7 linked regions of the Macaca fascicularis genome follow. The protein of the gene in region 6 interacts with the protein of the main gene of each other region in a pairwise test. Links are inferred from orthologs where the notes say so. Each region holds a gene or a part of one and is shown on either strand. Other genes may lie near its edges.

Evidence for each region.
Region 1: the proteins of FXR2 (region 6) and nucleoside diphosphate kinase A interact in binary tests that used the Homo sapiens proteins (3 or more experiments, as listed by UniProt). The link is inferred for Macaca fascicularis from reciprocal best matches to the Homo sapiens genes FXR2 and NME1.
Region 2: the proteins of FXR2 (region 6) and PRAM1 interact in binary tests that used the Homo sapiens proteins (3 or more experiments, as listed by UniProt). The two-hybrid records come from large-scale screens. The link is inferred for Macaca fascicularis from reciprocal best matches to the Homo sapiens genes FXR2 and PRAM1.
Region 3: the proteins of FXR2 (region 6) and SCEL interact in binary tests that used the Homo sapiens proteins (3 or more experiments, as listed by UniProt). The two-hybrid records come from large-scale screens. The link is inferred for Macaca fascicularis from reciprocal best matches to the Homo sapiens genes FXR2 and SCEL.
Region 4: the proteins of FXR2 (region 6) and PCBD1 interact in binary tests that used the Homo sapiens proteins (3 or more experiments, as listed by UniProt). The link is inferred for Macaca fascicularis from reciprocal best matches to the Homo sapiens genes FXR2 and PCBD1.
Region 5: the proteins of FXR2 (region 6) and LCP2 interact in binary tests that used the Homo sapiens proteins (3 or more experiments, as listed by UniProt). The two-hybrid records come from large-scale screens. The link is inferred for Macaca fascicularis from reciprocal best matches to the Homo sapiens genes FXR2 and LCP2.
Region 7: the proteins of FXR2 (region 6) and FBP1 interact in binary tests that used the Homo sapiens proteins (3 or more experiments, as listed by UniProt). The two-hybrid records come from large-scale screens. The link is inferred for Macaca fascicularis from reciprocal best matches to the Homo sapiens genes FXR2 and FBP1.

Annotation. Positions count from the first base shown.
Region 1 is NC_088390.1:55,546,324-55,550,364, reverse strand, and holds the end of nucleoside diphosphate kinase A, read left to right. Parts: intron 1-1,320; coding exon 1,321-1,422; intron 1,423-2,453; coding exon 2,454-2,566; intron 2,567-3,024; coding exon 3,025-3,142; 3' UTR 3,143-3,333; downstream 3,334-4,041. UniProt on the Homo sapiens protein: Major role in the synthesis of nucleoside triphosphates other than ATP. The ATP gamma phosphate is transferred to the NDP beta phosphate via a ping-pong mechanism, using a phosphorylated active-site intermediate.
Region 2 is NC_088393.1:9,191,398-9,195,614, reverse strand, and holds part of PRAM1 (PML-RARA-regulated adapter molecule 1), read left to right. Parts: intron 1-1,488; exon of another isoform or gene 1,489-1,558; coding exon of another isoform or gene 1,559-1,585; intron 1,586-1,918; coding exon 1,919-3,617; intron 3,618-3,703; coding exon 3,704-3,770; intron 3,771-4,217. UniProt on the Homo sapiens protein: May be involved in myeloid differentiation. May be involved in integrin signaling in neutrophils. Binds to PtdIns(4)P.
Region 3 is NC_088391.1:68,554,366-68,559,031, forward strand, and holds the start of SCEL (sciellin), read left to right. Parts: upstream 1-1,739; 5' UTR 1,740-1,858; intron 1,859-4,666. UniProt on the Homo sapiens protein: May function in the assembly or regulation of proteins in the cornified envelope. The LIM domain may be involved in homotypic or heterotypic associations and may function to localize sciellin to the cornified envelope.
Region 4 is NC_088383.1:75,544,185-75,548,898, reverse strand, and holds the start of PCBD1 (pterin-4-alpha-carbinolamine dehydratase), read right to left. Parts: upstream 3,304-4,714; 5' UTR 3,254-3,303; coding exon 3,251-3,253; intron 2,818-3,250; exon of another isoform or gene 2,569-2,817; intron 618-2,568; coding exon 486-617; intron 1-485. UniProt on the Homo sapiens protein: Involved in tetrahydrobiopterin biosynthesis. Seems to both prevent the formation of 7-pterins and accelerate the formation of quinonoid-BH2. Coactivator for HNF1A-dependent transcription.
Region 5 is NC_088380.1:177,056,371-177,060,333, forward strand, and holds part of LCP2 (lymphocyte cytosolic protein 2), read right to left. Parts: intron 2,766-3,963; coding exon 2,671-2,765; intron 2,061-2,670; coding exon 1,983-2,060; intron 434-1,982; coding exon 278-433; intron 1-277. UniProt on the Homo sapiens protein: Adapter protein primarily involved in signaling pathways within T-cells, as well as other immune cells such as platelets, mast cells, and natural killer (NK) cells.
Region 6 is NC_088390.1:7,664,153-7,669,003, reverse strand, and holds the start of FXR2 (RNA-binding protein FXR2), read left to right. Parts: upstream 1-1,790; 5' UTR 1,791-2,155; coding exon 2,156-2,236; intron 2,237-4,851. UniProt on the Homo sapiens protein: mRNA-binding protein that acts as a regulator of mRNAs translation and/or stability, and which is required for adult hippocampal neurogenesis. Specifically binds to AU-rich elements (AREs) in the 3'-UTR of target mRNAs.
Region 7 is NC_088389.1:128,465,289-128,468,276, reverse strand, and holds part of FBP1 (fructose-1,6-bisphosphatase 1), read right to left. Parts: intron 2,466-2,988; coding exon 2,346-2,465; intron 1-2,345. UniProt on the Homo sapiens protein: Catalyzes the hydrolysis of fructose 1,6-bisphosphate to fructose 6-phosphate in the presence of divalent cations, acting as a rate-limiting enzyme in gluconeogenesis. Plays a role in regulating glucose sensing and insulin secretion of pancreatic beta-cells.

The sequences.
Region 1 (4,041 bases), about 48 Mb from region 6:
TAAGCATATGGTTTGTTCTCTAGCTAACGTGATTTGTTCCCACATATTAGCCTTGCAGTATGAGAACTTCTAATTCATTTTTTTTTTTTTTTTTTGAGATGGAGTCTCGCTCTGTCACCCAGGCTAGAGTGCAGTGGTGTCACCTCGGCTCACTGCCAGCTCTGCCTCTTGGGTTCATGCCATTCTCCTGCCTCAGCCTCCTGAGTAGCTGGGACTACAGGCGCCCGCTACCACGCCCGGCTAATTTTCCATTTTTCAGCAGAATTATGTATTGCTAGATGTCATTTACTTTTGGGTGATTTGCAGATACCTTTGGGAATCACACGGTCATCACGCTGGGCTTTTATCCTCTGAGTAAACGTGAAGCATCCCTGGGTAATGGCCTGGTTTAGTTTGCTGCTCATCAAATGCCAAGACTTGCTCCCTGGTGTCCTTCTAACATTTTATTTGGGGTTTGCTCTGGGAATGGAAATTTATTGTATTGTTGATTTTCCTGCCTAAAATGAGATGGTTGAGGGCCAGGCATGGTGGGTCACGTCTGTAAGCCCAGCACGTTGGGAGGCCGAGGCTGGAGGATCACTTGAGTCCAGGAGTTTGAGACCAGCCTGGGCAACATAGTGAGACCTTATCTCTACAAATAATTTTTTAAAATTAGCCAGGTATGGCTGGGCGTGGTGGCTTACGCCTGTAGTCCCAGCATTTTGGGAGGCCGAGGCAGGCAGATCACCTGAGGTCAGGAGTTTGAGACCAGCCTGGCCAACAACCCTGTTTCTACTAAAAATACAAAAATTGGCTGGGCATGGTGGGCGGGCATCTGTAATCCCAGCTACTTGGGAGGCTGAGGCAGGAGAATCACTTGAACCTGGGAGGTGGAGGTTGCAGTAATCAGGATCGCGCCACTGCACTCGAGCCTGGATGACAGAGGGAGACTCTGTCTCAAAATAAATAAATAAATTTTAAAAATTAGCCAAGTCTGGTAGTGTGTGTCTACAGTCCTACCTATTTGGGAGTCTGAGGCAGGAGGAACACTTGAGCCCAGGAGTTTGAGGTTTTTAAAAATGAGATAGCTGAATTTAATTTTAATGTTCTGTGGTTTTATTATCAGTCAATGCCAATAGGGAGACAATTGATATAAAATTGGAGAAGTACTTTTAGTCCTGTCACTGCTCCCTTCCAGTGTGGAGAGTGAATTGGGTTATAACAGAATCAGTGAGCCCAACCACTCATGTTTTACATAGCAGGGTGGATGAGGGGAATTTACATGGATTGTATGTTCTTAGATGGTTTGGGGCCATTCTCATTCTCCGTCCTGTTGAATAGGCCTCTGAAGACCTTCTCAAGGAACACTACATTGACCTGAAGGACCGTCCGTTCTTTGCTGGCCTGGTGAAATACATGCACTCAGGGCCGGTAGTTGCCATGGTGAGTGTGCCTGTGTGAGATACTCCAAGTATGCATTGCTTGTCGTCTGCGCTAGGCTCTCTTCTAGACACTGGGGATACAGTCATGAGTGAGACCAAATAGATATCTATTTTCATATATCAGCTAATGGTTAGTGATAGGCCCAGAAATGAATAGGAGTAGCAAGTGATCACTTTAGAATGGATGATCAAAGAATGCAAATTTTAAGCTGTGATCTGAATGACAAGAAGCAGCCAGCTATGTACAGAATCACAGTGAAAAACATTTCCAGCCAAGCAAACAGCATGTGCAAAGGTCCCAGGGTGGGAATGAGCTTGGCTTTTTGAAGTATGGGAGGAGAATTGAAATGCCCGAAGCCTGATGGGTGGGAGAGAAGTTGGGATGTGAAGAGTTCAGAGGCATGGGCAGGGGCCTCCTCTCTTAGGGGTGTGTTGACCATGTAGTTCCTGAGTGCTGGGAAGCTATGGGACACTTCACACTTGGCCTTTTTTTTTTTTTTTTGAGATGGAGTCTCGCTTTGTCACCCAGGCTGGAGTGCAGTGGCACAATCTCGGCTCACTGCAAGCTCCGCCTCCTGGGTTCACGCCATTCTCCTGCCTCAGACTCCTGAGTAGCTGGGACTACAGGTGCCCACCACCACGCCCGGCTAATTTTTTTGTATTTGTAGTAGAGACGGGGTTTCACTGTGTTAGCCAGGATGGTCATGATTTCCTGATCTCGTGATCCACCCGCCTCAGCCTCCCAAAGTGTTGGGATTACAAGTGTGAGCCACCGCGCCCTGCCCACACTTGGCATTTTAAGGAGGCTGCTCTGGTTGCTGAATGGAGAGTACATTGTAGAAAGGCAAGCATCAGGGCAGGGAGACCAGGATCCCTAGTGCTGGAATAAGTGGATACTCTAAATATTTGTTCAGTGAATGAATGTCATCTTAAGGGGCCTTTTTATTTTTTCCTATTTTTGGATTAATAGTTGCCAGATTTTCTGCTGAGATGGGTTTTCTTCTTTGACCATATCTTCTTCTGTCCTTGGAGGTCTGGGAGGGGCTGAATGTGGTGAAGACAGGCCGAGTCATGCTCGGGGAGACCAACCCTGCGGACTCCAAGCCTGGGACCATCCGTGGCGACTTCTGCATACAAGTTGGCAGGTGAGATTTTGCTCTTTTTCCCCCTTTTCCAAAATCTGATTTAGTTGCCACAAGGATTTGGGTTTCTGAGGCTGGAGGTAGACATGATACCATATGCAGGTTGATTTTATCGGAGTTTATTGTTTTCCTCCCCCTTAAGTTGGTGTTTGGCTTTGGTTTTTAAAATCACTGTAGTTGTACCTCCGTTACACGAAGTGTAGAACCTGGTACAACACACTTTGCTGGCCACAGTCTTTCCTGAAGGCTCTTACTGTTTGCACCAGTGTGACCGGGAGGGCTGAATGTGGGGAGGGCATTTTTCACCCTTACATGAATGGCCATTGTAGGATTTTTCTTTTAACATGGTCTAATGTCCATGGAGCTTCAGCTTTTATGCTGCCGTGGCTGTAGATTTCTGGCAATGGGCGCATTTTAATCCTTCTGGTCTTGGTCATGTGACTGTCTCTTTCTCCACCCAGGAACATTATACATGGCAGTGATTCCGTGGAGAGTGCAGAGAAGGAGATCAGCTTGTGGTTTCACCCTGAGGAACTGGTAGATTACATGAGCTGTGCTCAGAACTGGATCTATGAATGACAGGAGAGCAGGCTACAATGCTTTCACATCCATTTCTCCTCCTTCCCATGGGCAGAGGACCAGGCTCTAGGAAATCTAGTTATTTAAAGGAACTTCGTCATAATTTGGAAGGAAGCTCTTGGAGCTGTGAGTGCTCCCTGTACAGTGTTACCATCCCCTACCATCTGATTAAAATGCTTCCTCCCAACTTAGGATTCATTGAGTTGGTTACTTTGTATTGTTGTATTTTTTTTTCTTCTTTTCATGTACACTGAATAACCTGACCTAATAGAGAATGTAAATACTATAAAAATTATTTATATTGAGATCTCACATACACACAGGCATTCTTTGCCTGCCCTTCTTAACCCCTGCGTCCCTTCCACTCTTGGCACGGAGCTACTCAACAGGCATCTATGGAGCATCTGCTACATGGCCAAGACTGGACTAGGTGCAGAGGATTCATCAGAAATAATACATGAGGGCTGGGTGTGCTGGCTTGTGCTTGTGATACCAGCTACTTGGGAGGCTGAGGTGGGAGACTAGCCTGGGTAACAGAGCAAGACCCTGTCTCACTAAAAAAAAAAAAAAAAAAAAAAATTAGGCTGGGTACAATGACTCATGCCTTTAATTCCAGCTATTCAGGAGGCTGAGGGGAAGAATCGCTAGAGGCCAGTACAAGTCCAGCGTGGGCAACACAGCAAGACACTGACTTTACAAAAAAAAAGAAAAATTAGCTCTGGTGCTGTACACCTCTAGTTCTACCTATGGGGAAGGCATAATAGGCAGGAGGATTGTGCCCGGGAGTTCAAGGCTGCAGTGAACCATGATCATGCTACTGTACTTCAGCCTGGGTGACAGAGTGAGACCAGTCTCTTAAATAAAAACATATCCATCCTGTTCTTGAGAAGCTCTTGGGG
Region 2 (4,217 bases), on a different chromosome or scaffold from region 6:
TGTCTTTGTGCCGCCTAAATATTGTTTCGTTCAGCAAATATTTACTGAGCACCTACTATGTTCCAGGCCCTGGGAAGATAGCAATGAATGAATGAGCCAAGTCTCTGCCTTGCAGAGGCTGAGGAACTGGGGGAAGTTGCGGTATAGAGAGACAAAAAAAAAAAAAAATTTTCAAGACATATTAAAAGCAATGTAAAATAGTATGATACATGGGGTGGGTACGATGGGGAAAATCATGTATGCTGACTACACAGGGCAGTAGTGGGATGGGGTGATCCATTTAAAATAGGGTGGTCTAGGCCAGGTGTGATAGTTCATGCCTTGCAATCCCAGCACTTTGGGAGGCTGAGGTGGGCGGATCACTTGAGGTCAGGAGTTTGAGACCAGCCTGGCCAACATGGTAAAACCCCGTCTCCATTAAAAATACAAAAAAAATTAGCCAGGCGTCGTGGCAGACACCTGTGATCCCAGCTACTCAGGACACTGAGGCAGGAGAATCGCTTGAACCCAGGAGGCGGAGGTTGCAGTGAGTTGAGATTTCGCCACTGCACTCCAACCTGGGGACAGAGTGAGACTCCGTCTTAAAAAAAAAAAAAAAAAAGAAAAGAAAAAAGAAAGAAAAATAGGGTGATCTAGGCCTGGCACGGTGGCTCACACCTGTAATCCCAGTACTTTGGGAGGCCGAGGCGGGCGGTCACCTGAGGTCAGGAGTTTGAGACAAGCCTGGCCAACATGGTGAAACCCTGTCTCTAGTAAAAATACAAAAATTAGCCAGGCGTGGTGGCGGGTGCCTGTAATCCCAGATACTCAGAGGGTTGAGGCATGAGAATCATTTGAACCTGGGAAGTGGAGATTGCAGTGAGCCAAGATCACGGATTGCACTCCAGTCTGGGTGACAGAGCAAGACTCCATCTCAAAAAAGTAAAAATAAACAAATAAAATAGGGTGGCCTCAGACGGCCTCTCTAATAAGGAAATATGAGAACAGAGACTGGGAGGAGGAAGAGGAGAGAACCAGGTAGTGCAGGGACATGTCCTGGGTCAGGGACAGGGCAGAGGCCCCGAGGTCAGAGGGAAGTGTTCAGGGTGCAGGGAGGAGGAGGTGGCTAGGTGGGGAGGCTGGTTCGCCCAGGCCTTTATGAGGCATTTAGCTTGAACTACAGGGACATGAGGAAGCATTGCCGGGTTTTGAGCAGAGAGACACAAACAGACTCAGGGCTCAACAGGCTTCTCCCTCCCGCTGCCATGGGGGGAACTGACCAGGGAGGGGGGTAGGCAGTGACTGGGGAAGGGCTTGTTAGAATAATCCAGGCAGTTGGTTGGGGGAGGGCAGACGCTGCCTCCCACTACCTCCTGGGGTGACAACGGTGAAGGCAGTGAGAAGTGGTTGGATTCCGGATGTGTTTTGAAATTAGCACAGAAGGGACAACAAGGCCTGGGCGTGGCGGCTCAAGCCTGTAATCCCAGCTACTCGGGAGGCTGGGGGATCATTGGAGCCCAGGAGTTGGAGGCTGCAGTGAGCTGTGATTACACCACTGCACTCCAGCCTGGGCAATGGAATGAGACTGGAGACATGCAGTGTGGGGGTGAAAGAACGAGGGGGTCAAGGAGGCTGGGGGGTTGGGGTACCACCCATGCGGGGAGGGCTGTGGGACTGGAGGCTGCAGGAGGGATGTCAGCAGTTCCACTCCTGCTAGAGGAGGTTGGGTGTGGAATCAGCACTAAATGGAGAAGTAGGGAGGGGTGTGGGTTCCAGGATCCTAGGATCAATGGGGGCTCCTCAGAAAGAGAGCCGAGGGCTGATGGGGCCTGGGTGCAGGGGTGGTGGTTGTGGGCTGTGCCTGAGGGTCCCCAGTCCCTTCCTTCCATGCCCCTTCTGTGTGTCTGAGCCCCTGCCTCATTGGCTGTATGTCTCCTAGGAGAGCCATCAGGACTTCCGGAGCATCAAAGCAAAATTCCAGGCCTCTCAGCCGGAGCCCAGCGACCTGCCCAAAAAACCCCCGAAGCCTGAGTTCAGTAAACTCAAGAAGTTCCCACAGCCTGAGCTAAGCGAGCACCTCAAGAAACCCCCGCCGCCTGAGTTCACTGACCTCCCCAAGAAGCCTCCGCCGCCTGAGGTCACTGATCTTCCCAAGAAACCCCCGCCGCCTGAGTTCACTGACCTCCCCAAGAAGCCTCCGCCGCCTGAGTTCACTGACCTCCCCAAGAAGCCTCCGCCGCCTGAGTTCACTGACCTCCCCAAGAAGCCTCCGCCGCCTGAGTTCACTGACCTCCCCAAGAAGCCTCCGCCGCCTGAGTTCACTGACCTCCCCAAGAAGCCTCCGCCGCCTGAGTTCACTGACCTCCCCAAGAAGCCGTCCAAACTGGAGTTCAGTGACGTCTCCAAGAAGTTCCCCCAGCTGGAGGCCACTCCATTTCCAAGGAAGCCCCCGCAGCCTGAGGTCGGTGAGGCCCCTGTGAAGGCCTCGCTGCCGGAGCCCAATACGCCTGTCCGGAAACCCCAGCAGTCCGACGAGCTCAGTCACCCCGCCAGACCCCCATCTGAACCCAAATCCAGTGCATTCCCCAGGAAGCTCTGGCAGCCCGAGGCCAGTGAGGCTACCCCAAAGCCCCCGCAGCCTGAGTTCAGTACCTTTCCCAAGAAGCCCGCGCAGCCTGAGGTCAACATGCACCCCAAAAAGCCCCCACAGCCTCAGGTCGGTAGCCTCCCTAAGACGTCCCTGCCGAAGCCTGAGTCCAGTGACGTCCCTCAGACACCGCCCTGGAAGCCTGAGGCCACTGAGTCCCTCCCCCACTCCCCGAAGCCCAACTTCAGTAGCGTTCCCAAGAAGCCGGTGCAGCCCGAGTTCAGTGTGCACCCCAGAAAGCCCCCGCAGCCTCAGGCGGATGGCCTCCCTAAGAAGTCCGTGCCGCAGCCTGAGTTCAGCGAGGCGGCTCAGACTCCTCTCTGGAAGCCTCAGTCCGGTGAGCCGAAGCACGACTCCAGCGCCTTTCCCAGAAAAGCCTCCCAGCCTCCGCTGAGTGACTTTCCCAAGAAGCCTCCGCAGCCGGAGCTTGGGGACCTCACCAGGACCTCCTCAGAGCCCGAAGTCAGCGTGCTTCCCAAGAGGCCGCGGCCCGCCGAATTCAAAGCGCTCTCCAAGAAGCCCCCGCAGCCCGAGCTGGGCGGCCTCCCCAGGACCTCGTCAGAGCCCGAGTTCAACTCCCTCCCCAGGAAGTTGCTGCAGCCGGACCGCCGGGGGCCACCCCGCAAGTTCTCACAGCCTGAACCCAACGCTGTCCTCAAGAGACACCCGCAGCCTGAGTTCTTCGGTGATCTCCCTCGAAAGCCTCTACTCCCCAGCTCCGCTTCCGAGAGCTCACTGCCTGCGGCCGTGGCCGGCTCCAGCTCCCGGCACCCGCTCAGCCCTGGGTTTGGAGTTGCTGGGACACGGCGCTGGAGGTCAGGAGGCCTTGTTCACAGTGGAGGGGCCAGGCCAGGCCTCAGACCCAGCCATCCACCCCGGCGGAGGCCTCTGCCCGCTGCCAGCAGCCTGGGACCCCCTCCAGCCAAGCCTCCGCTGCCCCCGGGCCCCGTGGATATGCAGAGCTTTCGGAGACGCTCTGCAGCATCCACAGGTGGGTGAGGGCGGGCGGCACCGGCAGGAGGCGGGGCTGAGATCCCAGGCAGTACCGGCCTCCCTGCCGCACTCTCTACCCCACAGATCTACGGAGGACCCGCTCGGCCGCTGCGCTCCACTTCCAGCCCCGACAGCCTGAAGACATCCCGCCGTGAGTGTGGGGAGGAAGCTGGGGTGGGTGCAGATTGTGGGGCTCAAAGGGGCCTCATCTCGGCGGGAAGCAGTGACTCACGCCTGTAATCCCAGCACTTTGGGAGGCCGAGGCAGGCTGATCACCTAAGGTCAGAGGTCAAGACCAGCCTGGGCTACATGGTGAAACCCCGTCTCTACTAAAAATACAAAATTAGCTGGGCGTGCTGGCGCATGCCTGTAATCCCAGCTGCTCGGGAGGCTGAGGCAGGAGAATTGCTTGAACCTGGGAGGCAGAGGTTGCAGTGAGCCAAGATCATGCCATTGCATTCCAGCCTGGGCAGCAAGAGCAAAACTCCATCTCAGAAGAAAAAAAAAAAATTAGCTAGGCGTGGTGGGGGGCACCTGTAATCCCACCTACTCGGGAGGCTGAGGCAGGAGAATCGCTTGAACCCGGGAGGCGGAGGCT
Region 3 (4,666 bases), on a different chromosome or scaffold from region 6:
GACCACATACTGCAATTGCCTTGCTCTCCAGTCTGGGTTTCTACTTCGTGTTACAGTCATTTCAGTGGGCACCACTCAGCTGCTTTGTAGTTTTCAGGAGCAGTTGTTCAGGGAGGATTTGGTTCATTGCTGGTGTGACATATGAGTGACGATGACCCAGGAAGTTCTGATGACGTGACTTCTCTCAGCAATGTTCTGGGTTTGCTAAGCTTCCTCAAAGCCTCTTTGGCACTTACGGAAGTTGCATTTCAAAACCTGTAACAGGAGTCCCCACCTAGGATGGCTCTTCAGTGCTACTCCTTCCTCCCAGTAGAAGCAACCTTTGTTTTTGTTTGTTTGTTTTGTTTTTTGTTTATTGAGATAGGGTCTCACTCTGTCACCCAGACTGGAATGCGGTGGTGTGATCACAGCTCACTGTGGCTTGGTCCTTCCATGCTCAAGAGACTCTCCTGCCTCAGCCTCCTGAGTAACTGGGAACAAATACATGCACTATCACACCCAGCTGATATTTTATTTTCAGTAGAGATGAGATCTCTCTCACTGTGTTGCCCGGTTTGTCTCAAACTTCTTGGCTCAAGTGATCTTCCCACCTTGGCCTCCCAAAGTGCAAATGAAAGCCACTGCAACTGGCCAGAAGCAGCCTTTGACATTGGGTCTACTGCTGCCCTCAGTTATGAGAGAAGTTTCAACCATCCTTTTCACATTTTTTTTTTTTTTTTTTTCTGCGAGAGTCTCACTCTGTTGTCTAGGCTAGAGTGCAGTGACATAATCTTGGCTCACTGTAACCTCCACCTCCCTGGTTCAAGTGATTCTCCTGCCTCCTCCTGCCAGAGTGGATGAATGGTTCTTCTTGACCATCTAATCACTGTCTACTAAGACTTTAAAACTCTGCATCAACATCACCTTCCAGGTTCTTCCTTCTCTCCCCTATGCGATGCCTGGCATTGAAAATTTCTGTCTATGACTTTATCATGGTATGTTACTGTTATTAAATATAGCTGGGGTTACAGGTGTGCGCCATCACACCCAGCTAATTTCTGTATTTTTAGTAGAGACAGGATTTTACCATGTTGGCCAGGCTGATCTTGAACTCCTGATCTCAGGTGATCCGCCTGCCTCCACCTCCCAAAGTTCAGGTATGAGCCACCACGCCTGGCCCTTTTTCACATTTTTTTATACATGGATAAATAAGATAGAGATTAGAATTCTTATGTGCTAGGTGTATTTTCCCTTTGATAGTTTTACAAAATATTCTAGGTGTAGAATGTTTGGAACAGACTTCTTTCGTGTTTTCTGATCCTAGGGTTCCTGGGTTTTTGAGAACTTGTTTGTCTTGAAGTTTCCTTTAAGCCATGTACTCCTTGCATGCTTGTCTGTGCCCCTGCCTTCCAGGTACTGTGGGCATATGGGGGTTCCTTCTATTGAGTTTTCAGTTTTATTTTTTGAAAGAGAATGCAAAATAGATTGGGTCCTATGCCACCTTGTCAGTGATATGGTTGTGCATATTGTTGATATCAGTTAAAGGGCAATCACAGGAGCGTATCTATATATATATATATTTGCATAACAAGGCCGTAAGTTAAAGAATTCACCAAACAAAGGCCGTAGGTTCACGAGTGAGACTGTTTTAATTGAACTGGTATTTGTACAAGGTGACACCCTGTTGCATACCACAGACCTCCTCCCTGAGTGACTCAGCCGCTGAGAAAGAAACCTCTGAACTGTTCATTAATACAGTCAGGTAGAGGTTGAGACTCCACTGAATAAACTCTAGGTTCCCATTTCTTTCAGTCAGATCCTCCCAGGGAATCACTACAGGCCGGTTAGCCAAAAAGTCCTGGTTTTCTGCTCAATAGAGGTAAGTTGAATTATACTTGCAAACAGAAATACATCTGCTGTATGTGCACAGCTTTCTCTGTGTTCCTTTCAAATGATTAAAATTAGAACTTACAGTATTATCTTTGTCTTTTCTTCCTATAAATTTTGACAGCCTCCAGCTGACTGTTAGCTCTGCTCTTCCTTGCTGTACTTTTAGGCCACATTGCATTGAACTTCTTGGCAACTTTACACATTACGGGCATCACAGAAATGAGCACCTATTTGATTTTCTGGGTGGGAGCTGTCAGCTGGTGAATCCTGCCACACAAAGGATAATAAATTATTTAAGCGAAGGGACCAGCACCTGCTGGTTTATTTTCTCAAGTGACTATACAAACATTTTTTAAAGGAACTTTCTGTTTTCATAAATGATGCTTTTAGTGAAATAGTGAACTCAAATATTGCTTTATAGTTAATAAGTCATATTTTTTCTCTACTGCTAAAAATATTGCAAGTTGTTGAGCTATGAGAGAGAGAGGTTTATTTTTATGAGGTTTTTGTCTCCACCCTATCTTCCCCAAATAAGAAAATTGCCATTTCTTACTTGAAAGTACCAAGGAGTAAAGGCAGGGTGTGGGGGCAGAATAGGGGTATATATGATCTGTGGGCATCTGGCCAACTTCTCTACAGTATATTCTGCATTCTAACCTAAGGAGTGATTAATATATATGGGGGCAATTTTCAAACTTTATTCATAGCCTAGTCCTGAAAAACCAGTTTTGGGAGACTTTTGGTAAGGATAGAAGAGTTCTTTTGTAATTAATAGTTAAGCTGACTTGTCTGGTTTGTGTTTTTTTTTTTTTTTTAATCATTTCTATTTATGATACAGAGCTGTGGAATTCAAATGCAGGGGCCACTCACAGCTTGCAAATTGCAGGTCTGTGTCCTCCAGAGAGGCGCCCCCACAGCATACTTGGCTCTATCTTTAGTACTTGAGTTCTCATGGCTTCCTATTGCTGACCAGGTCACCTGCAGTCTGAGAGGGGTTTAGGCACACCAGTGCTCAGTGCTCATTTCCCAGAGGTTTACCGAAGAATTTTATAACTTGGCTTTCAAGTGTTTATAGTAACCAGAAAACTAAAGCATAGCATGTGTGGGTAATTTTATTTTTCATAAAATGTGATTACATTTAAAACTGTCTTTCACTTCCACAGTTTATAACGTAGATATAGCCTTCCTAATATTTGCGGTGCTCCAGTGTTTAAAGTATCAGAAACATCAATTTGAGAAAACTGAGAAATGACAACAGTAAAAATTTTAGTAAAACATTCAGATGATCCTAAATGTTGGGATATGCAGAGAATGCCAACAACAGGTCAGAATTTTTATTGGAATGTTAGCTTCGTGTAAATCTTAGATCTAATTGACTGAATATTTCAACTGAAATGGAGCATAGGCCCATCTAGTCTAATGCCTGAATTTTCTAGATGAGAAAAACAAAGCATAAATGTTAAGTAACTTGTGAAGATCAGAGTAGCAGAACCAGAACATGAAGCCAAATTGCTTGTCTTTTGTCTTACTGAATTTTCTCAATATTTTTTTCAAATACTTTTTATTATAAAATATGTAGTAGCAATAAACGAACCACACTCCATCACAGACTGTGGTTATCCAGCAATATGTGGAAATATTATACTGTGTATGGTGTGACTAAGACATAATGGAAGACATAGACATATGTTTCCAACTTGTGGCTTGTGGAATCAGTGTTGCCATTTATTATATTTATGAGATTTTCATCTCAGGATCCAGTAGCCCCTCAGCAGGGAGGGGATCTGATGTATGTGTGTTAGCTGTGGTCTGTACAATCAGAACACCCTCGCCCCGAATGCCATTCTGTAGGTGATGCTTACCTGACTGCCTTCTCAGACTACCAGAATTATGATGAAATACCTGAGAGGTTCATATTCCTGGGGACTATGTAAACAAAACAAAGAATATGTTTTGAATGACTGAGCTCATACTGTGGAATGAACTAAGCAGTCAACTTAAGCAAACATTGTTTAACTGAGAGCATCCTATATGGTTCAGGCATCAACTCCCACCATTTCTTAAGAGTGAGGGGATCAAATCTTTGGCCCTGCAGTCCAAGGGAAATCTTTATTGGTTTCACTTGGCTTCACTTTCTGTCATTATCCTGCTTCTAGACCATTTGTTGATCATTTTCCATTTGCTCTGGCTAGGGACTTTGAAATAAAGATTTTTATATATTAATTGCTGCATACATAGCTGGAGTTGTTCCAAGTTCACTTCTGAATCAAAAGTCATTTTTGTTGTTGCTTTTTTTTTTTTTTGAGATGGAGTCTCGCTCTTTTTGCCAGCCTGGAGTGCAATGGCACGATCTTGGCTCACTGCAGCCTCCGCCTCCCATGTTCAAGTGATTCTCCTGCCTTAGCTTCTCGAGTAGCTGGGACTACACGTGTGCACCTGACTAATTTTTGTATTTTTAGTAGAGACGGGGTTTCACCATATTGGCCAGGCTGGTCTCGAACTCCTGACCTCAGGTGATATACACGCCTCGGCCTCCCAAAGTGCTGGGATTACAGGCATAACCAATGCACCTGGCCTTAATCAAAAGTCTTTATCAGTTATATTCCTTAAGTGTTTCCAGCTTACCACTGTACAAATGGTAAACTGTGATTTTTCCACGAACTTGTGATTTTGGGGCTTGGGAGAAGCTCTTCCTTACATGGATGCTTTGCCAAATGACAGCTACATTTACTAGACTTTCATTTCATGTTGATTACTAAATTTTTTAAGGATATGAGTCATCTTTTTATTGTAATAC
Region 4 (4,714 bases), on a different chromosome or scaffold from region 6:
ATGAATTAACTTCCCCCCAGGAGACTCCTTTATCTTTAAATCATTTCCCCCTTGACATTCTGTCACTGGTTCTCAGGCTTGAGTTAGAGATTGTCCCTGCAGTAGGAAGAAAGTCTTGCTATTTAGGACGCCAACAAGGTGGAAACACCACAACAGGCTTTTGGTCTGGCCAGTCTTGGCTGTTGGTTCAAATGTCTTCAGCTGTGCATGTTTTCTACTTGAACTATCTCCTCAGAGGACTGCTGCTACAAGTTCCAGGAAGGCAGAGCCCAAGACACATCCTCCTACTCTCCAGTCCCCAAAGATGATACTTTCTGAGTTAGGCAGGAAAATAAATATCCCCCCCGGCACAGTTATCCAAATAACTGGATGAGTGTGGGGTCTCAGAGTCTTGGCTAACGAGACGTGAAGGGACAGAACATGCTTTGTAAGGTGACCCCATCAGCCTCAGTCTCAGAAAACTCTGTCCCGCCCTGGTGCCATACCCTGTTGAAGTCTTTGAAATGAAACTGCTTGAAGATGGCATCGCGGCCTTCCAGCTCATTCCACCCCACGGCCCTCAGGTTTGGCAGCAGCTGGTCCCTCTCCTCAGCACTCAGCCTGTGTGCTTTGCCAGCCTAGAAGAGGGGAAAAAACGAGGCCCAAGAGCATTTCTTTTTATAGGTCAAAACAGGGGCTCCAGCCTTTAGGGGAACTTAGCCAGCCTCCACTGGCTGCTTTGGACGTGGGTGACCAAGGGCAGCAGGTCTTTGAGCAATAAGCTGGAAGCCCTCAAGGGTGGCACTCTGCCCAGGAGGTGGGGTCCAGGCTTGTCCGCTGATAGGCTCTCAGGTCTTGGGTTTTACACTCCACACAGAGAAAGGAAATCCCAAAAGCAATGCAATTCATATGACGGGGACAGAGACACTCTTCCCCTACCCTGCCCTCAAAGCCTTACAGACCTTCCCCTCCATAAGATCTATTACATCAGTGAGGGCGTAAAAGCAAAATAAATCCCAGATGCAAATATATTACTCCACAACCTCTGAGGAAGAGTACCATGCCTGTCCCCCCTTCCTTTTCCTATTATGTACTTTATCATATGCACCCCACGTCCCTACGGTAACTTTCATGTGTATTGAAGAGCAAACAGGCCTAGAGAGGGGAAACGACTTGTCTGCTGTTCTTTCCTGCCCTCCCCTAGCCAGGGATGGCGCAGTGTTGTCTGTGTGTCAGCATCCCTGGGGCTGGACAAAGGAGCTGCATTTAAAATAAGTGTCCAGCCCATTCTTAGCCACACTGTAGCTGACCGTGTTGGCACTACCTCTAGTAGGTCCTCAGTCATGCTCCCAGGCAGCCTCTGGTCCTGAGCCGCCAGGGCTAGGTTCTCCGGTTTTCCATCTGCTTTTCTGGCTGGTTGGGAAGCTCAGGCCACAGAACTCAGTCCCCAAAGTGGAAGGAACTTGGCCAAAGGCAGCTGGCAAACGTAGTGCCCTGTCCTATTTACCTAATGTGCAAAGTGCCCTCAACGCAGCCCAAATTGGCACAATTCAGGCCATGAGTGGAACCTCAGAGAATGCAAGGAAGCAAGGGTCAGTTTCATCCTAGGAGGATCCAGGTCTAGGACCTTAACGGATCCCAGAACCTAGGCTTCTAGAGTAGCACCACCCCAGGGCAGAAATAGAGTGCTGAATTGAAAAGAAATACTTAGGGGTGAGGAGGGAATGTGAGGGAGGTTAATTTAGCTTTTATGAGGCAGCCTGCAGACTGAACACCATGTGTTGATTGGCAGGAAGTTTGAGCCCCGCTTTCACCATTTACCAGCCAGGTGGCTGTACCTCTCTTGGCAGAACCTCTACCTCCACAGATCATCATGAGGTGCCAATGGGACACTTTAGGAAACTCCACTGCTATAAAGCAAATGTCATCTGCATTACAAAAAAATACCTCCTAAGGCAAGTAGGCTTGTGATGGGCCTGGTAGCATTTGTGGTAGCTGAAGCATCGCAGTGCTTTCCTAAGTCCGTCTTTTTTCCCTCCTGTTTCCCTCCTGAAAACGTGAGCTCTCTCCGGACTGAGGGAGCTTGGCCCCTCTCCTCTCCTCGGCTCTAGATGGCTACAGGGATTGAATGGCAGCAGCGATTTGCATCATCTGCCCAGTAGGGAGGTCTCTACTCCAGAGCTGGCCCTCTCCCCGTGGCTGACTGCCTGGTCCGTGTATCCAGACAACCAGAAGTCAGCCAAAGCATCAGAGCCCACTGTTTACTTCCTTGGCTCTTAAAGGGGTGGGTGAGTCCAGGTGAGCTCTTAGGAGGCTTCCCTTTCTCGGTAGAGCCTTCTGGAACCCCCCAAGTCGCAGAGCCTGGGGCTGAACTGACAAATCTTCCAGGTGCCGGCTCTGGAGAGGGGGACGGTGCCCTGTTTGCTTAGTAAATCCCCGCCAGGTCTTGCCTCCTCTGGCGAGGTGTGGGGAGTGGTCGCCGATTTCCCAAGCCTGCATCTCTGGGGGCCTCAGCGCCCCTCACAAACAGCCCCACTCATCCTCCCTCCCCCAAGTCCCTCTCCCATCAAAAGGCCCTCCCAGTCTTGCCTGCTCCGAAGGCCTGTGGGCCAGAAACGGTCTGATGAAGCTCCCGAGCTTACATCAGAGCAAGGGGCCCGCCCCCGCCCCGGGGGTAGGTGGGGGAAGCTAGCCCGGGAGGAGGGCTGCTCCTGCGCCACCAAGCCCCCGCGGCCGGGCACGGGCCTCAAACCGGCGCGGGGGCTGGCTCTGGAGCCCGGGACTGCACACGGGCTCAGAGCATGAGTCCCAGGCGGACAGACCCTGTGTCCAGAGTGCGAGCGGGAAGGGGCGCGGACGGGTACGCACAGGAGCGCGCAAACTCAGCCTGCCTCTCGCTCCCACCCCAGTATAAAGCCGAATCGGGCCACTAAGGGGACGAGATCTGCGGACTCTCCCACCACGGTCCTCCCCGGCCCTGTAAGGTCGTAGGCCCCGCCCCCAGCAGGGTCCGGGAACAAGCACTGGCCTGGGTCAGGGCAGGCCTGGCCTCCCAACTGGCTGGGACCGGGACCCGCCATGCCCCTCTCAGGGCCTCAGCTTCCCCTCCCCGCCGCCGGCGACAGGGACCCGGGCAGAGACCCCACTCTCGGACCCCGGCGGCTCCGCAGGAGGCTCGAAAAGACCCTCCCCCGCCCCGTCCCGCTCCCACCTCGCCCGCTGCTGCCCCGGCCCCGCTGCCCCGATCGCGGCGGCGCACCCCTGGACTCACCATGGCGCGGGCGGCAGCAGGTGGCCGGCGGAGAGGGCAGGCGGCGGCCGGGCGCGCAGGCGGCCGTCCCGGGGCGGGGCCGCGCTCGGACCGCCCTCCGGTAATGATTAACGTCCCCAGCCAGGGACGCGCTCGGCCTGCTTCCTTCCAGCACTTTCCTCGCTGCTCAGAGCCAATCCTCCGAGCTTGTTTCAGGGAGCTAGGGTGAAGCATGAGGGCTCCAAATGCCCACTTCAGGGTTGGAATCCCAGCCCGCCGCTTACAGCTGGGTGGCCCTGGGCGCCAGAATACCTATTTATTTCTTTATAAAAATCTTTTATTTGGATAGAATTGACATGCAATAAGTTGCACATATTCAACGTGTACAATTTGATGAATTTTAATGTTTCCCTCGTGAGACCGACACTGAGATCAAGATTATGAACATATCAAGTTTCCTTGATGACTAATGATATTGAATATCTTTTCATGTACTTATTTGCTAAGGATAAGTCTTTTTTGGTGAATAGCATGTTTGAATTTCCTGCCCATTAAAAAAGAAATTGGGTTGTTTGTTTTCTTACCGAGTTTTGAGGGTGTTTTTTTTCTGGATATAAGGACATGATCAGGCAGTGCTTTTCAAATATTTTCTTTGAATTATCTTACGCTGCCTTTCAAAGAGCAAACGTTCTTAATTTTGATGAAATCCAATTTATCAAATGCTTCTTTGATAGATTTCTATTTTGATGTTGTACGCATAGAAATCTTGGCCTAACACGAGATCACAAAAGTTTTCTCCTATGTTTTAGAGCTTTGGGTTTTACATTTAGTCTGTGATCCACGTTGAGTAAATATTTTTGTATGCTTCAAGTTATAGATCCAGATTCACTTTTGCACATGGAGATTCAGTTATTCCTTTCTCCACTGAATTGTCTTCGCACCTTTGTAAAACATCAATTGATTATATATGTGTGGGTTTATTTCTGAGCCCTTTCTTCTGTTCCATTGATCTGTTTGTCCATCATGACAGGACGCTACCTTGTCTTGATTATTATAGCTTTATAATAAGTCTTAGAGTCAGGTTAGAAAAGTCCTCTCACATTTTACATTTTTTCTGTTACCTTTTATTCTTGTACTCCATTTTTATTCCCCCCCGCCCGCCGCCACGGCCCATAGCAGCCTCTCTAATGTGTTAATGTGTATTTTTGTTTGCACATGTTCTTGCAAAATGTGTGGTGTTGTTTCGTCTATATGTATTTTTAAATTTATGTAAATGGTATTATGTAAATATATTACATTTCTCAGTCTGTTTCTTACAAAACAGAGTATTTAGTGGAAAATTAAGATCTACCCATGTCGCTATATGTATATTCAATCTGTAGCTTTTAACTGCGGCCTAGTATTTTGTAATGAGAGTCTGCCGTGGTTTCTTGTTCTATCAGTGATGGATACTTAGGTTCCCTCCAACTTTCTGCTGCTACCACC
Region 5 (3,963 bases), on a different chromosome or scaffold from region 6:
CTAAATAGATTTTTTTAAGTTAACATACTTTTTCTTGCTTTTGAAAATTATACATGGGATTATTTGGAATAAAAGATATACAAGAAAGAATCCTATGGCAGAAGTAACCATTGTAAAGATTTTGCTTTATTTCTCTTCCAATAAATGAAGGGCTTCACTAATGTGATTTAATTCTAAATTTGCCATACAGCATGGACTTCCAAAGATTGCTCCATGAAGGCATGCAGAGTGGCATAAAAAAAGACTTTGGGAAAATGTTGAAATTTGAAATCCTTACCTCTTTCCCTCGGAGTCCAGTTCCCAACAAGTAAACTTGACTTTCCTTCTGATAACGGATCTGGATGTTGTAAACTTTATCTTTGTACAACACCATGAGGACATATGGATTGGTTATTGTTTTTTTAGAGCTGTCTCTAACCAGAAATGTGCCATCCTAAAAAGATAAATTCCTGTTATTATGGGAGAGTAAAAGTCAATATTTTTGTTGCTTGCAAGAATAGTAGACCAGCCTCCAGGGATCTGACAAACATGTCAGTTGCACTTTGCAGCTTCTTGAGTGCAAAACCCGTCATTCAACGAACATTCAGTTCTCCACACAGCTACAGATCCCATGTGTCATGAGTTATTTTGTTGTTAAGAAAGGCAACAGAGATTGTATCAGAGAAATTTCCGAGTCAATCTCGTTAAAGTCTCTTATAAAAATGGAATCTTTTGTTCCCTAATAAATAATGGGTGGTTGAGTGGATAAAAGGCCAGGAGAAATAAAAAACTTTATTGGTTAACTCAAGATATATCTTCCTACTATTCCTGTGAGTTAATTCCCTAACCTTTCTCTTCCACATCCAAAGTCAGAAAAGACCCAAATGCCGTGAAATTCACCCTTCTTAAAACCTTGTGATCCCTAGATAGTCTTTCCTTCATCAGACACTTGAACAAAATTGAATGCAGATGTTCTCTTTTCTTTTCTTTTTTTCTGATATTTGCTAAACTACTGTTTTGATTGTCCTGTACTTTAAATTTCCATTCAATAAATTATTGCTACATAATATTAATGCTATAAAGATCTAATATTAAGATAGAATTAATTGGAAAGGACTCCTTTAAACTACTCCCTTCTCCTCATACCAAATCAGGATAGCTTTAAATAGCCATGAGTTGGCAATAATGGCTTTCCTTTGTTCGTTTTATTGCAAGTTAATTGAGCCTGTCAGAACATCTCTGCTAAACAAACATACTTCTGGATCAGTGATTCACAGTCTTGGCTTCAAATCAGAATTACCTGGGAAGTTTTGAAGACTCCAGAGCTGACACAGCACCCCAGAATAATTAGAATCTTAAGGCGAGACTCAGGAATCGGGATTTTTCAAAAGTTCTCCAGGTGATTTAAATGTGCAGCTACTACTGAGAACTACTGGTGTGGAGTTTAGATGTGAAAGATGAAAGAGTTTTGCTTTCCCATTTCCGATAAATAAATTTAAGGTAAAGTGTCGGCACTGGCTACGGGAGATATGTTCAAGACTTTATGTATTAAAGGACTAGCTAGAAACGTCTAGGGCAAAAAGCAAAAAGTTGCTGCCGTCTCTTTAATATCGGTCCTTTCACATCAACAAGGATGGCACATCTGTGTTAAGAGGAAGATAGAACTGGTACCATGTTGGAACTTTGGGGGAAGGAGAGCCTCCTTCTGACACCGTGTGATTCGTATGACAAGACAAACTCTTTCATTAATCAAATCTCCTAAGATTCTGCCAGCCAAATGACTGCCTTGAGATTCTTCTGCCAGCCTAATGATTCCCGAGCCTAGGAATCCCTGCTATGGGTGCTGATAGTTGTGAAGCTGGCACTAATGGGTCTCCTAGGTATCACAGTTAGCAACAGCACTTAGCAGAATTACTAGCCTGTAATGGGTACTCAGGACAAGTCAGTTCCCTTCTCTGCCATTAATATTTATAACTATGTTAAAATAAACTATAGCACAATACCTGGTTTATCTTTCTAAGAGCAGCTTCTGCCTCTGGTCGGGTAATATAAGAAACGTACCACTCTTCATTTAATGAATTCTGAAAATGTAAATTTTTAGAAACTGAATAAATTTTACAGTTACAGATGTAAGTGAAAAGAAAAGCTTCTGAGTAATCATTTCCATAAATCACCACCTCAATTCCAGGAGGTTTGAAACATTTGTTTTCTTAATTTGCATTCAGAGTCATTTAGCTGAGGCTAAATAGAAGACATTTTGTGTGAACTGCTTTTTATCATGACGCTGGTTGCAAAAATACCTGTGAATAAGTGTTCCTTACAGTATGGAACCTCTAATCAGGAAAGATGCAGATACAGTAATTTCTTCAGTTTAGCATAATAACCTGCTTGATAAAAAAACTGGTTTATCGAGCAGTTAAGTGATGAATCAAGGTCATAAACATAAAAAACAGGATTATTTTTCTTGCCATTTAATGCAAAACACACGTTTGCCATTGAAAGAGTCTGAAAGAATGCCAAGGAAAAAGAACATATTGTTCATCTGGATCTTCTCCTTTAACTTTTTTTCGAATAAATAAAATAAAACAAACGGAAGATAAAAGTATAGAAGAACATTCAGTGGGAGTTTCTGGTGATTCTTTTACCAGGGAAAAAGCAAACAAACAAAAATAAAAACATATACTTTCTTACCTCTTCTTCCGCGGGGGATGGGGGCCGAGGTTTGTTTGGAAGTGGCAAGGGGAAGTTTCTGCCTTCGGCTCTGATAGGTGCTCTGTTGCTAGGGCCTTCAAAAGTACAGAGTTCTGAAAGTTAATTTACTGTAAGCTATTGTTTACTGCTATCAAAACACATTCCCGCCCCCCCCCCCTCAAAATACCCTTGCGGTTGGTCCTACTGTTAGCATTTTAAGAAACCAGGGCTTCAAAAATAATTTTCTTCCGTTTGAAACCATGGAGGCTACTCAGGCATTATTCTGTAATCATGCCAGTAAAACTTTGAGAAGAGAACCTCAACTTGGAGTGATTTTCTAAATGTGCATGTTGCATAATATAAAGTGACTAGATCCCTTTACTAAAAAATTCACAATTGTTTTAATGAGTGTGAACATTAAAATGAATGCTCAAGAGACATATCTTTCATAGATTCTTATAATCTCAGCATAGGCAGAATGGATTCCCAACAGCTGATGTAGGGACAGGCAGTAATGAAGATAATTATGTTCTTAATATTTCCACAAAAAGAAATGTAAGTGACCCAAGAGAAGATGAAATTACCTTGAGAATATTGCTAGCTTTTAGAATCAAATATTGCTACCTGCTGTTCTAACTGAACAGGTAGAACTGTTCAACTCACATAGAAGGCTCTACAGATCAGGAAGTTTGTGTTGGGCACCTATTAATTACCCAGCGCTTATGTCTCATCTTCTCTAAAACTCTTTTTTCTCATTTACAATTCCTTGAAACTTTAGGAAAAAGTTTCCGAATCTCAGGAAAGGTTTAGTTGTGTTTGTTGCGGTTGCCCAGGGTATTTTCTGTGTGCCAGGCTGTGGTTAAAGACAGAAAAATTCTGTGAGTCGAATGTTCTCTTAATTATTCATCCATCATTCATTCATACCTTCAACAAATATGTATTCAGTACAACTCTGTCCAGATCTTGAGTAAGGTACTGTGTGTACATTTTTTTAATCCTCACAGCAACATTACAAGGTAGGTATTGTCTTCATTTTGCATATGGGGAAATACAGGCTCAGAGGCTAAGCAAATCATGTGCTATCAGTGGCAAAGCCAAAACTTAAACCTGTGGTTACCAAATGTTACTGTGCATGAGTCAGAATCACTGGGCGACTTTCAAGCACCTAGGGCCCAGAAATCTGCATGTTAGCAAGTACTTCTGGTGGTTCTACACCAGGGATTGTCACTATGTCTACCTTGTTACACCACTGAGGAGAGGAGAGTCACCTGGAAGGGCTAAAGCCTCCTGAGC
Region 6 (4,851 bases):
CTCTGCCTCCCAAAGTGGTGGGATTACAGGTGTGAGCCACTGCACCCGGGCACTATTATTATTATTATTATTATTACTATTTGTCGTTGTTGTTGTTGAGATGGAGTCTCGCTCTGTCGCCCAGGCTGGAGTGCAGTGGCGCGATCTCCACTCACGCAACCTCCGCCTCCTGGGTTCACGCCATTCTCCTGCCTCAGCCTCCAGAGTAGCTGGGACTACAGGCGCTCGCCACCACGCCTGGCTTTTTTTTTTTTTTTGTATTTTTAGTTGAGATGGAGTTTCACCGTGTTAGCCAGGATGGTCTCGATCTCCTGACCTCGTGATCCGCCCGCGTCGGCCTCCCAAAGTGCTGGGATTACAGGCGTGAGCCATCGCACACTGCCATTATTATTATTTTTTAAGTTTCACTCATTGCCCAGGCTGGAGTGCAGTGGCGTGATACCCGCTCACTGCAACCTCCACCTTCCTAGGTTCAAGTGATTCTCCTGCCGCATCCTCCCGAGTAGCTGGGACTCCTCCCGAGTAGCTGGAACTACCACAGCTGATTTTTTGTATTTTAGTAGAGACGGGGTTTCACCATGTTGACCAGAATGGTCTCCATCTCCTGACCTCGTGATCCGCCCGCCAGTGATCTCGGCCTCCCAAAGCGCTGGGATTACAGGCGTGAGCCACCGCGCCCGGCCTAATTTTTGTAGTTTTAATAGAAACGGGGTTTCGCCCTGTTGAGGCTGGTCTCGAACTTGGGGGCTCAAGTGATCCACACGCCTGGGCCTCCTAAAGTGCTGGGATTACAGGAGTGAGCCACAGCGCCCCCGGCCGAAACTATTCTACTATTCTTAAAACTTTCTTTCGTTTCTTTCTTTTTTTTTTTGAGACGGAGGCTTGCTCTGTCGCCCAGGCTGGAGTGCAATGGCGCGATCTCGGCTCTCTGTAACTTCTACCTCCCAGGTTCAAGTGATTCTCCTGCCTCAGCCTCCCGAGTATCTGGGATTACAGGCGCGTGCTACCACGCCCGACTAATTTTTATGTTTTATTAGATGCGGGGGTGGGGTGGTTCACCATATTGGCCACGCTGGTCTCGAACTCCTGACCTCAGGTGATCCGAGGACCTCAGGTGATCCACCCGCCTTGGCCTCCCAGAGTGCTGGCATTACAGGCGTGAGCCACCGCGCCTGGCCAAAACTTTCATTGTATCACAATCTCTTCAAGGCAAGAGCTATGACTTAAATCTACTACAGCACAGTTACAGATTCTTAAAAGATAGGCGATGCATGCGCGCAGACAGTAAAGCTCAGCGCGTGCGCACCGAGCACCTTTTTCCTTGCGGCGACTTCTCTTCTTTTTTTTTTTGGAGCGTGCGCACCAAGAAAGACAAAGGTGGGGAAAGTGACCAAGCAGTCGTTCAGGCGCATGCCCATCCCTAACTTGTCCGAGCCCGGTGGGGCCAGCGGCGGCGGCGTGGGTGTGGCCTGAGCGCTGTGTGACTGTGCGGCCGCCGCCCAATCGGACTGAGCGAGCCCGGCCCCTCCCTCCCTCTGATTGGTTGGTTCTCAGGGTTGTGGGGCGCGGAAAGGAAGAGACGGGGCTGCTGGGCGGTGGGGCGGTGGAGAAAGAAGGCTAATTTTGTTCTGCGCAAGCGCGAGCAAGCGACCAGGAGGGGGCGTGAGAGAGTGAAAGGGAATGTGGAAGCCCCGATGCGCTGGCTAGCGCTAGCTGGGGCTCTAACCTTGACGCCTGCGCCGTGGCCCTCGGGGCCCCGCGCGCAGCGGGCGGGTGCCCGGTGCGCCTGCGCAGTAGGAGGCGGTGGCAGGGGGAGGTGGAGGCTGTGGAGCGGCAGCGGCAGCAGCGGGTCCCGGGACTGAGGCAGCAGCGGGGGCGGCGGCAGGCGGAAGCTGAGGTGACGAAGGCAGCGGCGGCGGCGGCCGTTTCCCTCACGGTGGCGGAGACCAAGGCGGCGGCGGCGGACGGGGAGCGGCCCGGCCCCGGCCCCCTGCTCGTTGGCTGTGGCAGGGCCGCCGTGGGGCCGGCCCGGCTCCCGCCCCCCGCGGCTCCCCCTCCGGCTCCTCCTCCGGGGAGACGCCGGGGGCCTGGCCCGGCCCGCACTCAGACTGCTGCTGCAGCCGCCGCCGGGGGAGTCGGAGGCGGTGGCGGCGCCATGGGCGGCCTGGCCTCTGGGGGGGATGTGGAGCCGGGACTGCCCGTCGAGGTGCGCGGCTCCAACGGGGCCTTCTACAAGGTGAGACGGCGCGCCGACTGGGGACGCCGGTCCTTAGCCCCCTCCCCCGGCCGGAGCAGGAACGCGTGGGGCGGGATCGAGCTTCTGGAGCTGAGTCCTGGCCCTTAGAATCTTAGACCCTTGCTCCCACCCGCAGCCTTCCCTGAGAGACCTCTTGGAGTGAACCTGTTCCTTTTATTTTTGAGCCCTTTAATGCACCTGCTTCTACCCCCATCTCAGGGAGAATGAACTTCAGGCCATTATTGTCCCTGGCTTGGCGCTCCCCGCTCCCCAGGAGAGACCCCTTTACCCAGCTTCTAATTGACTGTTTCCGTTGTCTGATGGAAGACATACCTTAGACCTTAATCACATCTTCCCCACGGTCCAGGCACATGGAGAATTGTCTTTCTTCTGCACGGTCCCCTTGGGAAGGCCCCCTCTGTCCCATATCGGATCCTTTCATCTTCCTCAGAGAGGCCTCTGCCTACTGACTCTGGAACACTCACCCCACTTTCAGCTTATATTCCGGTTCCCAAGCCAAGGAGAAATGGTCAGATCCATTTACGACGTTTGGCATCTTTGACCTCAGGAACCCTGGGTTGGATCAGTCAAGTTGCTTCTCAGCCAGCCATAAGGTGGCATCTTTCGCAAGTCTTTCACCCCACCACACCTTGATCTCAAGGCCCACTGGTCTACCATTCTACTCAGAATGGATTTGAGGTCTCACTTAGACCTCAGATACCTTCAGGTCATTCTTAGAGTTTCTTCGTCTTGAGGCATGTGAGCTTCATAGTCATGATCTCTAAAAGGATCTCTAAAAGGAAGCTCATGGGGTTCCCTTCTGTTTTTCTTAAGATTTCCACTTCTTGAAGACTCTTGGCCAACTATCCCAGTTCGGGAATCTGACAACCTTTTTTGGAAGAAGGGATCATCTTTCAAAGACCTTTCCTTATTTGACCTCCCCCTTTGCCCAGGATTTGGTTCCTTAGAACTCCTTATAATACCACCTTCCTTATCTGCTCTGAATCCATTTTCTAGGACATTTTTTTCCCATTTGGATTAAGCCAGAGAGAACCCTTTCTTGCCTCCCAAGAGTTTTTCTTCGACTGTTGCTATTCTGAACCTCTTTTGGATTTGATGCCTGGAATTGTCCCAGAGACTCTCCTGATTTCTGTCTCATTCTTTGATTTCACCTTGGGGAGCTGTAGAAGAGATACCTTCCCATGGCATTACTTGTTAAGAGTAGATCCCCCTTCCCCCTTTCCTTCTGTTCCCCTCAGGCCTTTCCCCCCCACAGTAGCCCTCTCTAGTTTCTCATGCCCTTGGAAGTGTCTTTCTTTGACTCCTTCCCTAAGTCATATTTTCTGTAACTGTAGAGGGTCTTGTAATTTCCCTTGGGTGGTTTCTGCCTCTACTTCAGTTGCTAAGTTCATTGTAGTCTTTTTTTTTTTTTTTGAGACGGAGTCTGGCTCTGTCACCCAGGCTGGAGTGCAGTGGCACGATCTGGGCTCACTGCAAGCTCCGCCTCCCAGGTTTACGCCATTGTCCTGTCTCAGCCTCCTGAGTAGCTGTGACTACAGGCACACACCACCACGCCCGGCTAGTTTTTTGTATTTTTAGTAGAGACGAGGTTTCACCGTGTTAGCCAGGATGGTCTTGATCTCCTGACCTTGTGATCCGCCCGCCTCAGCCTCCCAAAGTGCTGGGATTACAGGCGTGAGCCACCGCGCCATTGTAGTCATTTTTTACTTACTCTTCATACTTACCCATTTTTGCCTTACTTCCCTCATCAGATTTCTTTCTGTGCGGTGACTTTGGGTACCCATGTCTAACTTACTGTCTCAATTCAAGTTTTTGGCTTTTTCTCCTAATACTTCTGTATTCCTGTGTAATCCCCAGGGATCACCTAATTCCCTGTCTAGCTGAAGGAAGCTCCCTGCTGATCTCTTTTGTCATTTTCTGCATACTTGCCTAACTCTTGGGACTTTTTCTTCTAGCCTGCCTCCATAGCATTTCTGTTTTTTTTGGCAAAAGTCTCTAATTCCTTTCTGCTTTTGATAGAGCACATTTATCTCTCATATCCTTTTCCCCAAACTTGCACTACCTTTGTTGAAATACGCCTCCTAAAGTGGCCCTCCCTGTTTCCCTCGGTATCTTTTCCTTCATCTGGGTCCTTACCACCCCAAAATTCTGAGTTCCAAGAAAAGTCATTCTTAAGTTGAGTCCAAGATCAAGATATGATGTTTGCTTTGTTCTAGGAAGCACAGGAGCCCTGCACAGCTGGGAAAGATTGGTATCCAGTTCAAATGAACTGTATGAGATGGCTGGGAAGGGACACGTTTTCTGTTCTACATATAAGTGTCCAGCAGAAAGTCTCTCTGAATCTTTTCCCTTTCTCCTGTGCGCTGTGGGCAATGATAGACTTGAGTACATGGGGACCAGGATACTCTGATTCAGAGAGTAGAGTCTGGGGTTGAGCTGAAAGCCAGGTAATGTGGTAATGTGGATCTGGGCAGGTTAGCATTTTCTGCCCCGTTCCTGAGTTAAAAACCACAAATCCCTAAATTCAGGCTAATCTTCCACTCTCAGTACCCTATAGATACTTATCCGTTTTGACCTTGCTGCTGATTTAATAT
Region 7 (2,988 bases), on a different chromosome or scaffold from region 6:
TGGTGGCAGGCACCTGTAATCTCAGCTACTCAGAACACTGAGGCAGGACAATCACTTGAACCCAGGAGGCGAGTTGCAGTGGACCGAGATCATGCCACTGTACTCCAGCCTGGGTGACGAGTAAGCCTCTGTCTAAAAAGCCATCTGTCCACTGGGAAAACATAGGAAGGACACAATACTTGGGAAGGAAGTGCACTGTCACCCTGGCAGAAGGAAAGCAGGGCAGCTCTGAGTGAGCACGGGGAGCACAAGGAAAGCAGGGCGGCTCTGAGTGAGCACGGAGAGCACAAGGAAAGCAGGAGGCTCTGAGTGAGCACAGAGAGCACAAGGAAAGCAGGAGGCTCTGAGTGCGCACGGGGAGCACAAGGAAAGCAGGAGGCTCTGAGTGCGCACGGGGAGCACAAGGAAAGCAGGAGGCTCTGAGTGCGCACGGGGAGCACAAGGAAAGCAGGAGGCTCTGAGTGCGCACGGGGAGCACAAGGAAAGCAGGAGGCTCTGAGTGAGCACGGGGAGCACAAGGAAAGCAGGAGGCTCTGAGTGCGCACGGGGAGCACAAGGAAAGCAGGAGGCTCTGAGTGCGCACGGGGAGCACAAGGAAAGCAGGAGGCTCTGAGTGCGCACGGGGAGCACAAGGAAAGCAGGAGGCTCTGAGTGAGCACGGAGAGCACAAGGAAAGCAGGAGGCTCTGAGTGAGCACGGAGAGCACAAGGAAAGCAGGAGGCTCTGAGTGCGCACGGGGAGCACGAGGAAAGCAGGAGGCTCTGAGTGAGCACAGAGAGCACAAGGAAAGCAGGAGGCTCTGAGTGCACACGGGGAGCACGAGGAAAGCAGGAGGCTCTGAGTGAGCACGGAGAGCACAAGGAAAGCAGGGAGGCTCTGAGTGAGCACAGAGAGCACAAGGAAAGCAGGAGGCTCTGAGTGCGCACGGGGAGCACGAGGAAAGCAGGAGGCTCTGAGTGAGCACGGGGAGCACAAGGAAAGCAGGGAGGCTCTGAGTGAGCACAGGGAGCAGAAGGAAAGCAGGGAGGCTCTGAGTGAGCACGGGGAGCACAAGGAAAGCAGGGAGGCTCTGAGTGCGCACGGGGAGCACAAGGAAAGCAGGGAGGCTCTGAGTGAGCACGGAGAGCACAAGGAAAGCAGGGAGGCTCTGAGTGCGCACGGGGAGCACAAGGAAAGCAGGGAGGCTCTGAGTGAGCACGGGGAGCACAAGGAAAGCAGGCGACTCTGAGTGAGCACGGGGAGCACAAGGAAAGCAGGAGGCTCTGAGTGAGCACGGGGAGCACAAGGAAAGCAGGGAGGCTCTGAGTGTGCACGGGGAGCACAAGGAAAGCAGGAGGCTCTGAGTGAGCACGGAGAGCACAAGGAAAGCAGGGAGGCTCTGAGTGCGCACGGGGAGCACAAGGAAAGCAGGAGGCTCTGAGTGAGCACGGGGAGCACAAGGAAAGCAGGGAGGCTCTGAGTGTGCACGGGGAGCACAAGGAAAGCAGGAGGCTCTGAGTGAGCACGGAGAGCACAAGGAAAGCAGGGAGGCTCTGAGTGCGCACGGGGAGCACAAGGAAAGCAGGAGGCTCTGAGTGAGCACGGGGAGCACAAGGAAAGCAGGAGGCTCTGAGTGAGCACGGAGAGCACAAGGAAAGCAGGGAGGCTCTGAGTGAGCACAGGGAGCAGAAGGAAAGCAGGGAGGCTCTGAGTGAGCACGGAGAGCACAAGGAAAGCAGGGAGGCTCTGAGTGAGCACGGGGAGCACAAGGAAAGCAGGGAGGCTCTGAGTGCGCACGGGGAGCACAGCCACCCTGCAGCCTGCTGGGAACGCCGTGGGCTTGGACTAGTGAGTCGGTGGTGACGGCTCACCGGGAAGCTCTAGGCTTCCCCAGAGATTGTTTCCCTAAAAGGTATCATTTTCCCCGTAGCGGATGCTGACTCACTAGTGACCTGTTTCACACCTTTTACACCTTCTGCTGAGGATACATATTTGATCCACTGCCTTGGAAGTGAGGCTGGGTTTTTTCATTTCACTTTATGAATGGAATTCACTTTGCCTGAGCCAAGCCATGTATCTACCGGAAGCCCTTCAGTCCTCATCAGGATGAGGATTCATTCTCGTCTGATCTCAAAAGAGATTCATTCTCTTTTGCCATAGCACTGGAAGGGCTCTCAAGAGACTATTTTTATCTTTAGTTGATATCATCCGGCTTTACCTTTAATCCGCAAAAGAATATGCCACAGACACACGTAGCAACGTAGCATGGAGCGTAACAGCTCGCAAAACTCTCTTCTTCCTAAACCAAATCGTGTGGGCTGCAAGTGCAATCTGCTCCTCACTCCCCCTCCAAAGGACACCCTTACCTTTCCGCTGGGGCTCTTCTTGTTAGCAGGGTACAGAAATATCCCTCCGTAGACCAGAGTGCGGTGAACATCGGCCACCATGGAGCCCACGTACCGGGCTCCATAGGGGGCTGAATTATCCTGCACGTTAAGACCAGCAAGAATTAGCAAATAAGACAGAGTTTTCTTTGTGTCCCTGAGTTTCTTTGATCCCACATCCATTCACCAAGCACCTACAAGGTGTGTACTTGGGGCTGTGCTAAAAAATGGATTCGAATCCTGTTCCCAATAAATGGAAAATGGAAAAATGGAGACACAGAAAATGGAAAAACGGAGACAGCGTCTCACCATCTCCCAGTAGGTCAGATTCCCACCGAAGCCCCAGCGAGGGTCTGGTTGGTTCTGGCTATGGGGCTGAGGCAGGCATTACAAAAACTGTGCCATTTAGTAACACCTCAAAGGCTGAGGAAGTTTGTTACCAAGCTAAGGAACTGGGCAGGGGTGGGAGGCAGCGTGTAATTTACAGGAGAGGAAACTGCACGAGCATCTTCTTAGCAATGTAGAGAGGGAAACGGGCCTGGAGGAGGGGCCTGTGGGACTCGGGCGTGCCTGTGCGGAGGTTGGGGGCAGGAGAGGAATCCAGGGTAAGGTGAAAGGAGAGATG